Saccharomyces cerevisiae S288C: one gene and its partners. Each later gene encodes a partner of the first gene's protein in a complex. Each region holds a gene or a part of one and is shown in the gene's direction. Other genes may lie near its edges.

Region 1 (3,138 bases):
GAGGAGGGAAATTCTTCACTCTGACTCGTTGATTTTGAAAGAGGTTCGGGTCCTCATAAATATTTGAGAATATGAAATTCCATAATAGTATACCTTCATTGAGTAGCACGACAACAGCCTGAATTACTATCCATATTATGAATATCTTTATTTACACTGAACTCCCGACACTTCAGTTAAACAGGGATACATTAGAGATCAAGGTGATCTAATAGGGAACATCTCTCTCGTAACAATGGGACAGTATTTTATTTTCCAAGGCGGATACCTAATTATGCGTTTTTAATCATATCTCTACAATATTTATGAGCACTTACTTGGGCCCTTGCAGACTTTTGTTCCGGGAAAACTTTTGACTAACAAGAATCCAATTTTACTTTTTTTTTTTTAGGAGCTCCAAGAACTTACTCTAAGACTTACTCTACACCAAAGAGACCTTACGAATCTTCTCGTTTGGACGCAGAATTGAAGTTGGCCGGTGAATTCGGTTTGAAGAACAAGAGAGAAATTTACAGAATTTCTTTCCAATTGTCTAAAATTCGTCGTGCTGCCAGAGACTTGTTAACTAGAGACGAAAAGGACCCAAAGAGATTGTTCGAAGGTAATGCCTTGATCAGAAGATTGGTTAGAGTTGGTGTCTTGTCCGAAGACAAGAAGAAGTTGGATTATGTTTTGGCTTTGAAGGTTGAAGATTTCTTGGAAAGAAGATTGCAAACTCAAGTCTACAAGTTGGGTTTGGCCAAGTCTGTCCACCACGCCAGAGTTTTAATCACTCAAAGACACATTGCTGTTGGTAAGCAAATCGTCAACATCCCATCTTTCATGGTCAGATTGGACTCTGAAAAGCACATTGACTTCGCTCCAACTTCTCCATTCGGTGGTGCTAGACCAGGTAGAGTTGCTAGAAGAAACGCTGCTAGAAAGGCTGAAGCTTCCGGTGAAGCTGCTGAAGAAGCCGAAGACGAAGAATAAATAATTCGCTGATTTCATAACTGTATAATAAATTTTATAACTTTTCAAATCACGGATCATTTTTCATTTTACTTTGTCATTTTTATTTCATTTGAAAATGGGTAGAGGTACATAACTGGCGCTTTTCTTGCAAGATGACATGGCATTGGATGACACAAGTATTACTCAATACCCAACGTAAATAGCTAGAAGATTTTGATCGGATTTAAATTCCCAACTGCAACTCAGTAGCGTTTAGGATTTTACACCTTGGCTTGGAGAAATCCTTATTGTCAGAAATTGAAGCCGTTAATATTTAAAGGCTAATTCTCCATGCCATCTTGCATTCACTTTGGTATATATCTCTTGACCTCAATATATCTCGATAATATAAATCGCAATATTATACTTGTTAGTCTGACAGTTTTACACCTGTACATCTTCACCATCACCACACCCTTTTTTACTGGAGGCAAGGATGAGTTTGAATATCGCCTTTTTCCCAGCCGCTAGAACATGCTCAGAACCGAGGAAAAGCACCGCTGCCAAACCTCCTTTGATGTGTTGGCCCACCGCTACTAGTGGCCGTGCTGGAAGCCCAGGCAGCGGTGGGGGCCACAATACGAGAGCTGGAAAGGTAAACGGTCTCTGCGCCTCTGTGAAATTTTATCACCAATGGAGTGTCATGTCTGGTAAAGATAATATAGAAAGTAGTGTGCAATTTCAGGCATTACCGATTGAACTTTGGAATAAGAGAACCAAGACAAAAATAACTAGCAACAATGGGTAAATCGTATGTCATTTAATCCTATGAATCTACAGCACGAACGAATCATGGTATCTCAAACCGAACATATCGTCACAGAAATAAAAAGATTTAAAGACGTGTCTAGTGTGAATAAAGCAAACATATCATTAGAGCAAAATATTGGGCAGATAAGATGATGCTACACTGATTCTGAGAAAATTACGTGACATGATAGGCTTTTAACGGGCTGTAAGTCATTAGTTTACAGTCGTTGCTTTGAAAATTAGTTCAACATTAGAAGTGTAGTAATTACAAGCCCTTTTTCCAAACATTCGGTTATGTGCTGGGACGCATCTCAGAAACTCGCAAAACAATAGAATACTAACATGATTTCTTATAAATCTTAATTTTGATTTATTTCCTTATAATACAGACACGGTTACAGATCTCGTACTCGTTACATGTTCCAACGTGACTTCAGAAAGCATGGTGCCGTCCATCTTTCTACTTACTTGAAGGTCTACAAGGTTGGTGACATTGTCGACATCAAAGCCAATGGTTCTATCCAAAAGGGTATGCCACACAAGTTTTACCAAGGTAAGACCGGTGTTGTCTACAACGTTACTAAGTCTTCTGTTGGTGTTATCATCAACAAGATGGTCGGTAACAGATATCTAGAAAAAAGATTAAACTTAAGAGTTGAACACATCAAGCACTCCAAGTGTAGACAAGAATTTTTGGAAAGAGTTAAGGCCAATGCTGCTAAGCGTGCTGAAGCTAAGGCTCAAGGTGTTGCTGTTCAATTGAAGAGACAACCAGCTCAACCAAGAGAATCCCGTATCGTTTCTACTGAAGGTAACGTTCCTCAAACTTTGGCCCCAGTTCCATACGAAACTTTCATCTAATTTACCCGATGCTGGTTTTGTATCGAAAAAGATTTTCAGGTTTTAGGTTTTATTTTTTGTCTATTTTTAAATATATAATATAATAAAAAATAAATTGTGTCTAATATCCATAATTTGTACATTTAGATTATTTCTTTTGGTTCTTTATTCTGACCTATATAGACTACTCAACACAGTCACTTCATGTCATCCAGATATTACTTGCGTTGAGCATCTCTTTTGAATCCTCGCTTCGGGCTCTCTCTTAGTGAAAAATTAACCTTACGCCAAAATCCAAGAAGTAAAATTAAAAAGAATAATGGTAAAAGTCTAACTTCACATAGAGAATTCAACTTTGTATAAAGGGGTAGCCTTGTTCTCTATAGAAACTGTTCTTTGAAGTACTGCTAACTGAGGTAAAAAAATCGGACGATTTTGTCTTTACGTGGTCCTATATTTATTGTGTCAAAGTCACCTACTTACTTACATAGTTGACCATTCTCATATCCCATAATTTTTCAAGGAGATAAAGATGCCTAAAAAATCCATTGAAGA
Region 2 (2,760 bases), on another chromosome or scaffold:
TCCAGTTTGGTCCGGAGAGTTTAGCATAAGCTTGTATTTCCGTCGCCATGTTCTTGTCGTTGGAATATTGTAATGATACGGTAGTTGGCTGATCTGGGGCTGTCAGTGAAGAGATGATGGCATTTATTACACCTTGATGATGCTGAGCGGTATATTTTGTGCTGCCATAATTTGTTTGAGTCATATTTAGTTCGTTCATCTCGTTAAAATTGCTGCTGGACATTTCTTGCGCATTGATAAAGTTTCAATAAAGGAAACGGAGGGAGCACACCAATATTTATGTGTATCGTACTGTTTTTTTTTTTTTTTTCTAGCAATGATCACTTATGCGAGGGAATCGGGAAGATTGGCTTTGAAGTGTTTTTAGCCTTTTGTTCCTTAGTATGATCTTGATTATTGAGCGGTTCAATTCAGTGGAAAAGGACTGCTCTATAGTGTTTTAAGTTTTACAGAAATATAGTGATCCTATGAATGTCACTTTTTTGTTTACCTTTAGAAATGCGGAACCATTGGCATTTTTTTTCTTTATTTACTAATTTACCTAGAAAATCCAAATGGCACAGGGCGAGCGAATTTTTTTTCCCTCTTTTAATGAGCGAAATCGAAGATTTTCGGTAATGTTGTGCGAAGGGTTCTGGGGCGGGGTCCGGCATAAGTCATCATCAATGCTAAGGGAACGATTATATGGCACAGAAAGAGACAGGAAGAAGAGGCCATCAAAATGTTGCAGCTTAAGGGATAAGCATAAAGCGTAATCAATAAAAAACAGCCTGTACCCAACAGGCAGCAAATTTTTGAAAGCCTGTTGCAAGATACATATGACACAAATTATTAAAATATGTTGAATTAATATTCAGTTCTTACAGTTGACATGATCCGACTCAAATGTTAATGTTCTTGAGGTTCTATAGTTTCAAAATAGCTTTTTACTTTCTGCTATTGGACCCTTTTGGACCAGCCGAAGGAAGTTTTTTTTCTTTATGTTTAGCTCTTTTTTCATCACTTCTAATTCGCAAATAGAAGGGGAAGGAGGACAGCAATTATGTAAAAATTAATTAGTATGTCAGTAACAAAAAGAAGAGATAACAGAGGTAGTTCCTCTAGACATTTTTAAGACGACTATTGATGCCAGGCAAATTTTGGATTTACTGCTCCTCTTTTAAGAAGACAAGTGTGTGATATCGTAGCGGTAGGAACCAATTTTGCAATCGATTTACTTACAGCCAAGAAAATCTATTTTCATGTTTAGCATTGCCATTTCTTCTGTGTCACACGTTGTGCTTGCCAGGAACTATAGGAGAGACGTATACAAGCATCAATGTTACGAATGTACGATCCCGTTTGCATCTGATGTGTAAACTCATGTGGTGCACTGGTGTTGTTTCCAAGACTGCACTATTAACTGGGAATTTTTTTTTTTCTTCTAGTGAATTTTTTTTTAAAGCGACGCACAGGAAAAGTGAAAATTATTTAAACGGACGGCAAACATGAAAAAAAAAATTACCAACCATATTTCTATTTCCTTTCCCTTTACCTATTCTCTTTTTGAAATAGTTCATTTTCTCTCTCTGAAACGACAATAAACCAAACTCTAGCCTCCAATAGTCACTAAAGATGAAGTACATTCAAACCGAACAACAAATTGAAATCCCAGAAGGTGTTACTGTCAGCATTAAGTCCAGAATCGTCAAGGTTGTCGGTCCAAGAGGTACTTTGACCAAGAACTTGAAGCATATTGATGTTACCTTCACCAAGGTCAACAACCAATTGATCAAGGTTGCTGTTCACAACGGTGACAGAAAGCACGTTGCCGCTTTGAGAACCGTTAAATCTTTGGTTGACAACATGATCACTGGTGTCACCAAGGGTTACAAGTACAAGATGAGATACGTCTACGCGCATTTCCCAATCAACGTCAACATTGTTGAAAAGGATGGTGCTAAATTCATTGAAGTCAGAAACTTTTTGGGTGACAAGAAGATCAGAAACGTCCCAGTTAGAGATGGTGTTACTATCGAATTCTCTACTAACGTAAAGGACGAAATCGTCTTATCTGGTAACTCTGTTGAAGACGTTTCCCAAAATGCCGCTGACTTGCAACAAATCTGTCGTGTTAGAAACAAGGATATCCGTAAGTTTTTGGATGGTATCTACGTTTCCCACAAGGGTTTCATTGTCGAAGACATGTAAATGGAACAAAAAAGTGTCTTTGCGCTTAGAGGCGCTTAAATATGTACATTATTCCTACTTTTTTATTTAGTATTATGTAAAGACTGAGGTTCTTTGTCATTGGATGTGCCTCACTTCCAATGATGAATTGACAGGCTCTCTAGGGAATGCTGTCAAGGGGAAACGTTGCTAGTGCTCATTGAAATAAAGAGCCACTTTACGTTTTCTCAAATTGCTTTTGTTTTTTCTTCTATTGATGCTAATTGCATATTTTTTGGTAAAGGAAAGAAACACTAAAAAATAAATATTCTCTAATACGTTACAAATGATTTTCTTTTTTCTTGAGTCTTGCAATCATACCCGTAGCTTTCTCTTGTTCTTCGGCTATTGCTTTAAATCAAAATGATATCTGGGTGTACCAGCAAGTTTCGAAATGAAAACATAAAAATATGGTTACCCGACATATATGCTGGTTTAATACTGGTTAAACTGAACAGAAGCATCTCTTTTCTCTATTAGGACGTAAACGACAACGTTTTTTTTTATAGGAAAAGTAAACAAAGCGCAGTGGAAGGCAGCGAAAGGAACCTG
Region 3 (3,124 bases), on another chromosome or scaffold:
CGACACAGTTGGATGTGCCAACCCAAGACAAGTATATGAACTGATCAGAACTTTGAAGAGTGTTGTCTCATGTGACATCGAATGCCATTTCCACAATGATACCGGTTGTGCCATTGCAAACGCCTACACTGCTTTGGAAGGTGGTGCCAGATTGATTGACGTCAGTGTACTGGGTATTGGTGAAAGAAACGGTATCACTCCTCTAGGTGGGCTCATGGCAAGAATGATTGTTGCCGCACCAGACTATGTCAGATCTAAATACAAGCTGCACAAGATCAGAGACATCGAAAACCTGGTCGCTGATGCTGTGGAAGTTAACATTCCATTCAACAACCCTATCACCGGGTTCTGTGCATTCACACATAAAGCAGGTATCCATGCCAAGGCCATTTTGGCTAACCCATCTACCTACGAAATCTTGGACCCTCACGATTTCGGTATGAAGAGATATATCCACTTCGCCAACAGACTAACTGGTTGGAATGCAATCAAATCAAGAGTCGACCAATTGAACTTGAATTTGACGGATGATCAAATCAAGGAAGTTACTGCTAAGATTAAGAAGCTGGGTGATGTCAGACCGCTAAATATTGATGATGTAGACTCCATTATCAAGGACTTCCATGCAGAATTGAGCACCCCACTTTTAAAACCAGTAAATAAGGGTACAGATGACGACAATATCGATATTTCCAATGGGCATGTTTCTAAAAAGGCAAAGGTCACCAAATAGTTTCATTATATATATAGTACACATATTTCAAACATACACATACTGGGCGTTATTAGGTGTTTAAGTACTGGCGATTACCGTAATAAAATTACTATTTACGTCAACTTTATTCAATAAGCTTTTTCTCCTACTCCGATGTTCAATTGAGGCGGTTGCATCTAGCTTGAAGACGGGGTATTTTAATCAATTAATTGAGATCAATGAATATTGACTCTGTGCGATTCCCCACGCTATTATACTCTCACGGAGTATTTCCGTTATGATAATGATCACTATATACGTCAAATGATCGGTTTCTATTTGCTAACTATTTCAAGCATCATTATTATCTTTTAGGGGGCGGCTGGGGAATTATTTATTATATTTAGTTCAGTCGTTCATAAGAAAATTGAGCTCTCCATTGTAGATATTAAGAAGCACTTTCACCCAGTCATCCAACCAAACACGCTATCAATATGTTAAACCGTTGCATTTCCCGTAATACCAGGCTGCCAGTAAACCTAAGAATTGCCTCTCGCTTTTATTCAGATGGTCCTCTCGGTGGTGCCGGACCTGGTAATCCTCAAGATATCTTTATCAAGAGAGAACGTGCCAAAGAGGATTATTATGCCAGACAACAAGAGAGGGAACAATTAGCACATGTGAAGGAACAACTAAAAGAACACAAGAAAAAATTAGAGAATTTAGAAAACAAAATTAATAACCTTTCAAAGTGATTGGTCATTGTTAAGGCTAAAGGTTCTGCAGACACGTTTTGTACGTAGAAAGAAGCAATCATGCCAAATCAAAATTAGGAAATGAACATCAGTGGTATTTTATAAGCCTGCACATTATATATAGTATATACGTCACGAATACAGGAACACCGTCAGTTAGAGAAACGTCGCCTCAGTTTGCTCCTCAGATATTCCTTTAAACCCATACATATCTTACACAAAACATCCGTACATCAGAAGGATTATATGAAACGCAAAAAAAAATAAAATTTTCATTTCTGCGTGTCGCGCGAAGGAGAAATCTTAGAATTGAAACTTCCGGCTAACGGTTGCTAAAACTAGTTTCCAATGTAATACCAAATAAGCATTTGATGTTGAATCTGTAAGCCCCTTCGTGATATTTCAAGGTTAAATTACGAATTGCAGTTTCAGTTAATCTTGGACTAACAAAGAAATCAAACAACTAAGAAGAAAATGTCTGACTCTATTATTTCCTTTGCTGCTTTCATCCTAGCTGATGCTGGTTTGGAAATCACCTCTGACAACTTATTGACTATCACCAAGGCCGCTGGTGCTAATGTCGACAACGTATGTACAAAAATGCAACCTAAAACGACTTTGTGTGACTACGAAGAGAAAGATTAGACAACAATCGTCCCGAGAAATGCGCAATTTTGAATAATGGGGGACAGAAAAATTCCATGTAACGTTTCCCTCTAACATGATGAGATACTAGGGGGCAATACATGTAGAAATATTTCTCCATTAACGTATTTAACGGAAAGCACAAGTCAGGATCGAATTACTTCTTCAAGGATCTCATTTTACTAACAAACTCAACGAATAACGACTCTTCCTATGGAGCTTGTTATATGTATCATTGAATTAGGTCTGGGCTGATGTTTACGCTAAGGCTTTGGAAGGTAAGGACTTGAAGGAAATCCTATCTGGTTTCCATAACGCTGGCCCTGTTGCTGGTGCTGGTGCTGCTTCTGGCGCTGCCGCTGCTGGTGGTGACGCTGCTGCTGAAGAAGAAAAAGAAGAAGAAGCTGCTGAAGAATCTGACGACGACATGGGTTTCGGTTTATTCGACTAAACATACAAGGAAAGTCATTTTTTCTGCAACGTTTTTTTACCCTTTATGTATATATATTTACATATAAAATAAACCTCTAATCAATCAGTATTTAAAAATCGGAAGTAATGTCCATACGAAAGGGCTACGAGAATTTAACCATCTCGTTCTTTGCTAGAAATGGCACTGCGGGATAGCCCCTGGTTGCGGGATATCAGACCTGTCGTCACCATAGCAACCAAAAATTACATAAACCCATGGTTGCTCGCCCTTTGATGGCGACGCCGACCGAAGCTTCTCCCGCGCACATTTTTAAAATTTTTACTCATCGGGAATGAAAGGTTCTTTGACACATGTAAAGCTCCCTAAGTTGGACATACGTCGGTCCTTACAGGCTTAGCAATACACCTATAAGGCACTAGAAACGTATAAAATTTGAGCACTTTAGTTTCTCATCCCTTTTGATACGAAACGCGGGCAAGGCTACGGCATACAGGAATTTAACATTTTGTTGGCTATGGAGCTAAGAAGTAGACGGAGCGCAGAGGCCTATCTTGTCACGCCTGAGGAACCTGCCAAGAATAAGAGTGAACGGAGCAT
Region 4 (2,639 bases), on another chromosome or scaffold:
CTGTTGAAAGATTTAACGGCTCTCCAATCGATGGAGGCAGATCAAGATTGAGACTTAACCTAATCGTTGATCCAAACCAACGCCCAGTCAAAAGTTTAGCCGACAGGATCAAGGCTATGCCACAAAAAGGCGGAAACGCTCCAAGACCAGTAAAGAGGGGTCCAAATAGAAAAGCTGCTATGGCAAAATCCCAAAACAAACCAAAGAGAGAAAAGCCTGCTAAGAAAAGTCTTGAAGATCTGGACAAGGAAATGGCGGACTATTTCGAAAAGAAATAATTAATTGTCAATTTTTTGTTTGATTTAATTTGGTTTTATTAAATTTAATTTTTCCGAGTTTCATTATGTATTAGTTTCCAGAAAATTTAAAGGATTAAAAAATGTATTAATAAAACTTTGATATGTTTATGTAATAATATTTACCACCGCCACTAGGTGACGCTAACCTACTCATCGGTGACGGCTTTTCTCACTTTTAAAGTTTATTCGGCATATTTGACTCATAATATGTCACTATTTACAGTGCGATGAATATATATATACATAATACTGCATTGAAAAAATGGATAGGTTGATTAAACGTGTGTTACTCGTTTCTCCTCCTATCTAAAAAACCTAATTTGTCACCTCTTTTTCTTGTTACAGCACTAAGCCCGCTACCTTCATATTTACTCTTTCTTACTAATTGATGGTCCTCAGAGCAATCAATGTTGTCTCCTCCATCTTTAGGTATGGGGAACCCTGGTTTGACTTGAGCAAGGTTATCATAATAGTTTTTTTCATTCACTTCACCATTGTTTCCCCGCGCCTTTGGTATAAATTTAGCATCTCTTCTAGCTTTCACTATGGTCTTGACCACATAAATAGACGCAATCCCGGCTGCAGAAATGTATAGTAAATTCTTACTGTTGAAATCGCATTGGTAGTGTTTTCCTACTTTCGTCTTCACTTTGGTTATATATATGGTGCAATCAAACTCTGCTTCAAGGGATAGGCCAATAAGGAAATAACCAAAAAAGAAGTCCGGGAAATAGAAAAAGATATCCAATGTTAGTTTAGGCTTTACGAATAGATGTTTCCCTATTTCTTTTACACATACCCTATATTTTGAAATGGATTTGACATTGTATACTTAGTACGGCTCAAAGAATGAAATATTACTATATTTATCTCTTCATCTGCCTTGATTTTTTTATATGCAAGCAGGACGCTCGGGTTTGTAAGGAGGAAGATTGAAAAGGATGTCTTCAACTAAAAGGCGAAGAAGGAAGCGACACATTTGTGATGCTTTGAGGTCAGTAATGTAATATATATATATATATATATATATATATATTATATAGTGTAACTGCTCTTATTTATCTTGTCTATTCGAACCCAACAAAAAAGGCTGCAGTGGGAATCTGTTCATGTGGCTGTATCACAACCAAGGGCTACCGTTTAAGAATACTGGAGAGCTCTTGTCGTCTCTAATTTTATGATCACGTGCCCATTCTAGTCATTACGCAGGTAATGCGAAAATTACAGTATGGATCGTGTAAAGTTACCAAGCAGAAAAATTGTAATAATTTTCTTTTTCCAAATTTTCTCGGTATCTGAAATTTTTCATTTAAGAGATGATATTTGGACTTACTCTAAACTATTACTTTACGTATCTTTGATTTAACTTCCAGTTACAGATCGTTAAGGAATAGTCCGCGAATTTATTACCGCTTAAACTGATTATTTCAAATATAGAAAGTAATATCTATTAATCAACAACAGAAATGAAATACTTAGCTGCTTACTTATTATTGGTTCAAGGTGGTAACGCTGCCCCATCCGCCGCTGACATCAAGGCCGTCGTCGAATCTGTCGGTGCTGAAGTCGATGAAGCCAGAATCAACGAATTGTTGTCCTCTTTGGAAGGTAAGGGCTCTTTGGAAGAAATCATCGCTGAAGGTCAAAAGAAGTTCGCTACTGTTCCAACTGGTGGTGCTTCTTCTGCTGCTGCCGGTGCTGCCGGTGCTGCTGCCGGTGGTGATGCTGCTGAAGAAGAAAAGGAAGAAGAAGCTAAGGAAGAATCTGATGATGACATGGGTTTTGGTTTATTCGATTAAGGAATTTAATTAATAAACAATTTTCTTGTTTTCCTTCATTTTACAAAATCTGGTGTAAATCCTCGATTCCATTGTGATTTAAAAATAATTAATTACTGTATAAGATTCTATATAGACAATTAATTGAAAATAGTATTACTTCTTTAACTCGCTTAGGATTTTTTTTATTTTTTCTCTCTTTTCCGGAGAATTGCCAAATGTTTTCACGGCCTCTTCCAATAATAGCTTCATTTCTTCCAACGCAACTACTAGTTTCCCATTGTAAGTGGCGAAGTACTCGCTGATATCATCATCTTCAGAAGCTTCTTTAATGGAAGTTGTTAAAGAATTTATAGAATTTGTTTGGCTCAGAATATCTGATAATTTACTTTCGCCTATTTGGAGAGCCTGACATTTCAGTATTAAATCTTTCCTTAAATTACTATACTCGCTTAGAACTTTGAGATCATTTTCCACTTCAACTTCCTCTTCGTCTGCTACTTCCATCTGCGGCAGCTTCAACACATCTTCAATTAATCTCTCTATCGATGTACTCTGAGGT

What was found.
Region 2: RPL21A (region 1) and RPL9B share a complex: the UniProt entries of both Saccharomyces cerevisiae proteins name them as parts of the large ribosomal subunit.
Region 3: RPL21A (region 1) and RPP1B share a complex: the UniProt entries of both Saccharomyces cerevisiae proteins name them as parts of the large ribosomal subunit.
Region 4: RPL21A (region 1) and RPP2B share a complex: the UniProt entries of both Saccharomyces cerevisiae proteins name them as parts of the large ribosomal subunit.

What each region holds. Positions count from the first base shown.
Region 1 is NC_001134.8:604,537-607,674, forward strand, and holds RPL21A (60S ribosomal protein eL21 RPL21A), read left to right. Parts: upstream 1-1,733; coding exon 1,734-1,744; intron 1,745-2,132; coding exon 2,133-2,604; downstream 2,605-3,138. Other genes in the region: 40S ribosomal protein uS4 RPS9B, read left to right, coding at 392-972; RIM2 (Rim2p), read left to right, coding at 3,116-3,138. UniProt on the Saccharomyces cerevisiae protein: Component of the ribosome, a large ribonucleoprotein complex responsible for the synthesis of proteins in the cell.
Region 2 is NC_001146.8:498,067-500,826, forward strand, and holds RPL9B (60S ribosomal protein uL6 RPL9B), read left to right. Parts: upstream 1-1,614; coding exon 1,615-2,190; downstream 2,191-2,760. Other genes in the region: forkhead family transcription factor FKH2, read right to left, coding at 1-223; YNL067W-B (uncharacterized protein), read left to right, coding at 1,351-1,491. UniProt on the Saccharomyces cerevisiae protein: Component of the ribosome, a large ribonucleoprotein complex responsible for the synthesis of proteins in the cell.
Region 3 is NC_001136.10:227,983-231,106, forward strand, and holds RPP1B (ribosomal protein P1 RPP1B), read left to right. Parts: upstream 1-1,923; coding exon 1,924-2,037; intron 2,038-2,338; coding exon 2,339-2,545; downstream 2,546-3,124. Other genes in the region: homocitrate synthase LYS21, read left to right, coding at 1-733; STF1 (ATPase-binding protein), read left to right, coding at 1,189-1,449; YDL129W (uncharacterized protein), read left to right, coding at 3,042-3,124. UniProt on the Saccharomyces cerevisiae protein: Component of the ribosome, a large ribonucleoprotein complex responsible for the synthesis of proteins in the cell.
Region 4 is NC_001136.10:1,237,727-1,240,365, forward strand, and holds RPP2B (ribosomal protein P2 RPP2B), read left to right. Parts: upstream 1-1,765; coding exon 1,766-2,098; downstream 2,099-2,639. Other genes in the region: RNA-binding protein YRA1, read left to right, coding at 1-278; COI1 (Coi1p), read right to left, coding at 586-904, 1,099-1,124; NKP1 (Nkp1p), read right to left, coding at 2,234-2,639. UniProt on the Saccharomyces cerevisiae protein: Component of the ribosome, a large ribonucleoprotein complex responsible for the synthesis of proteins in the cell.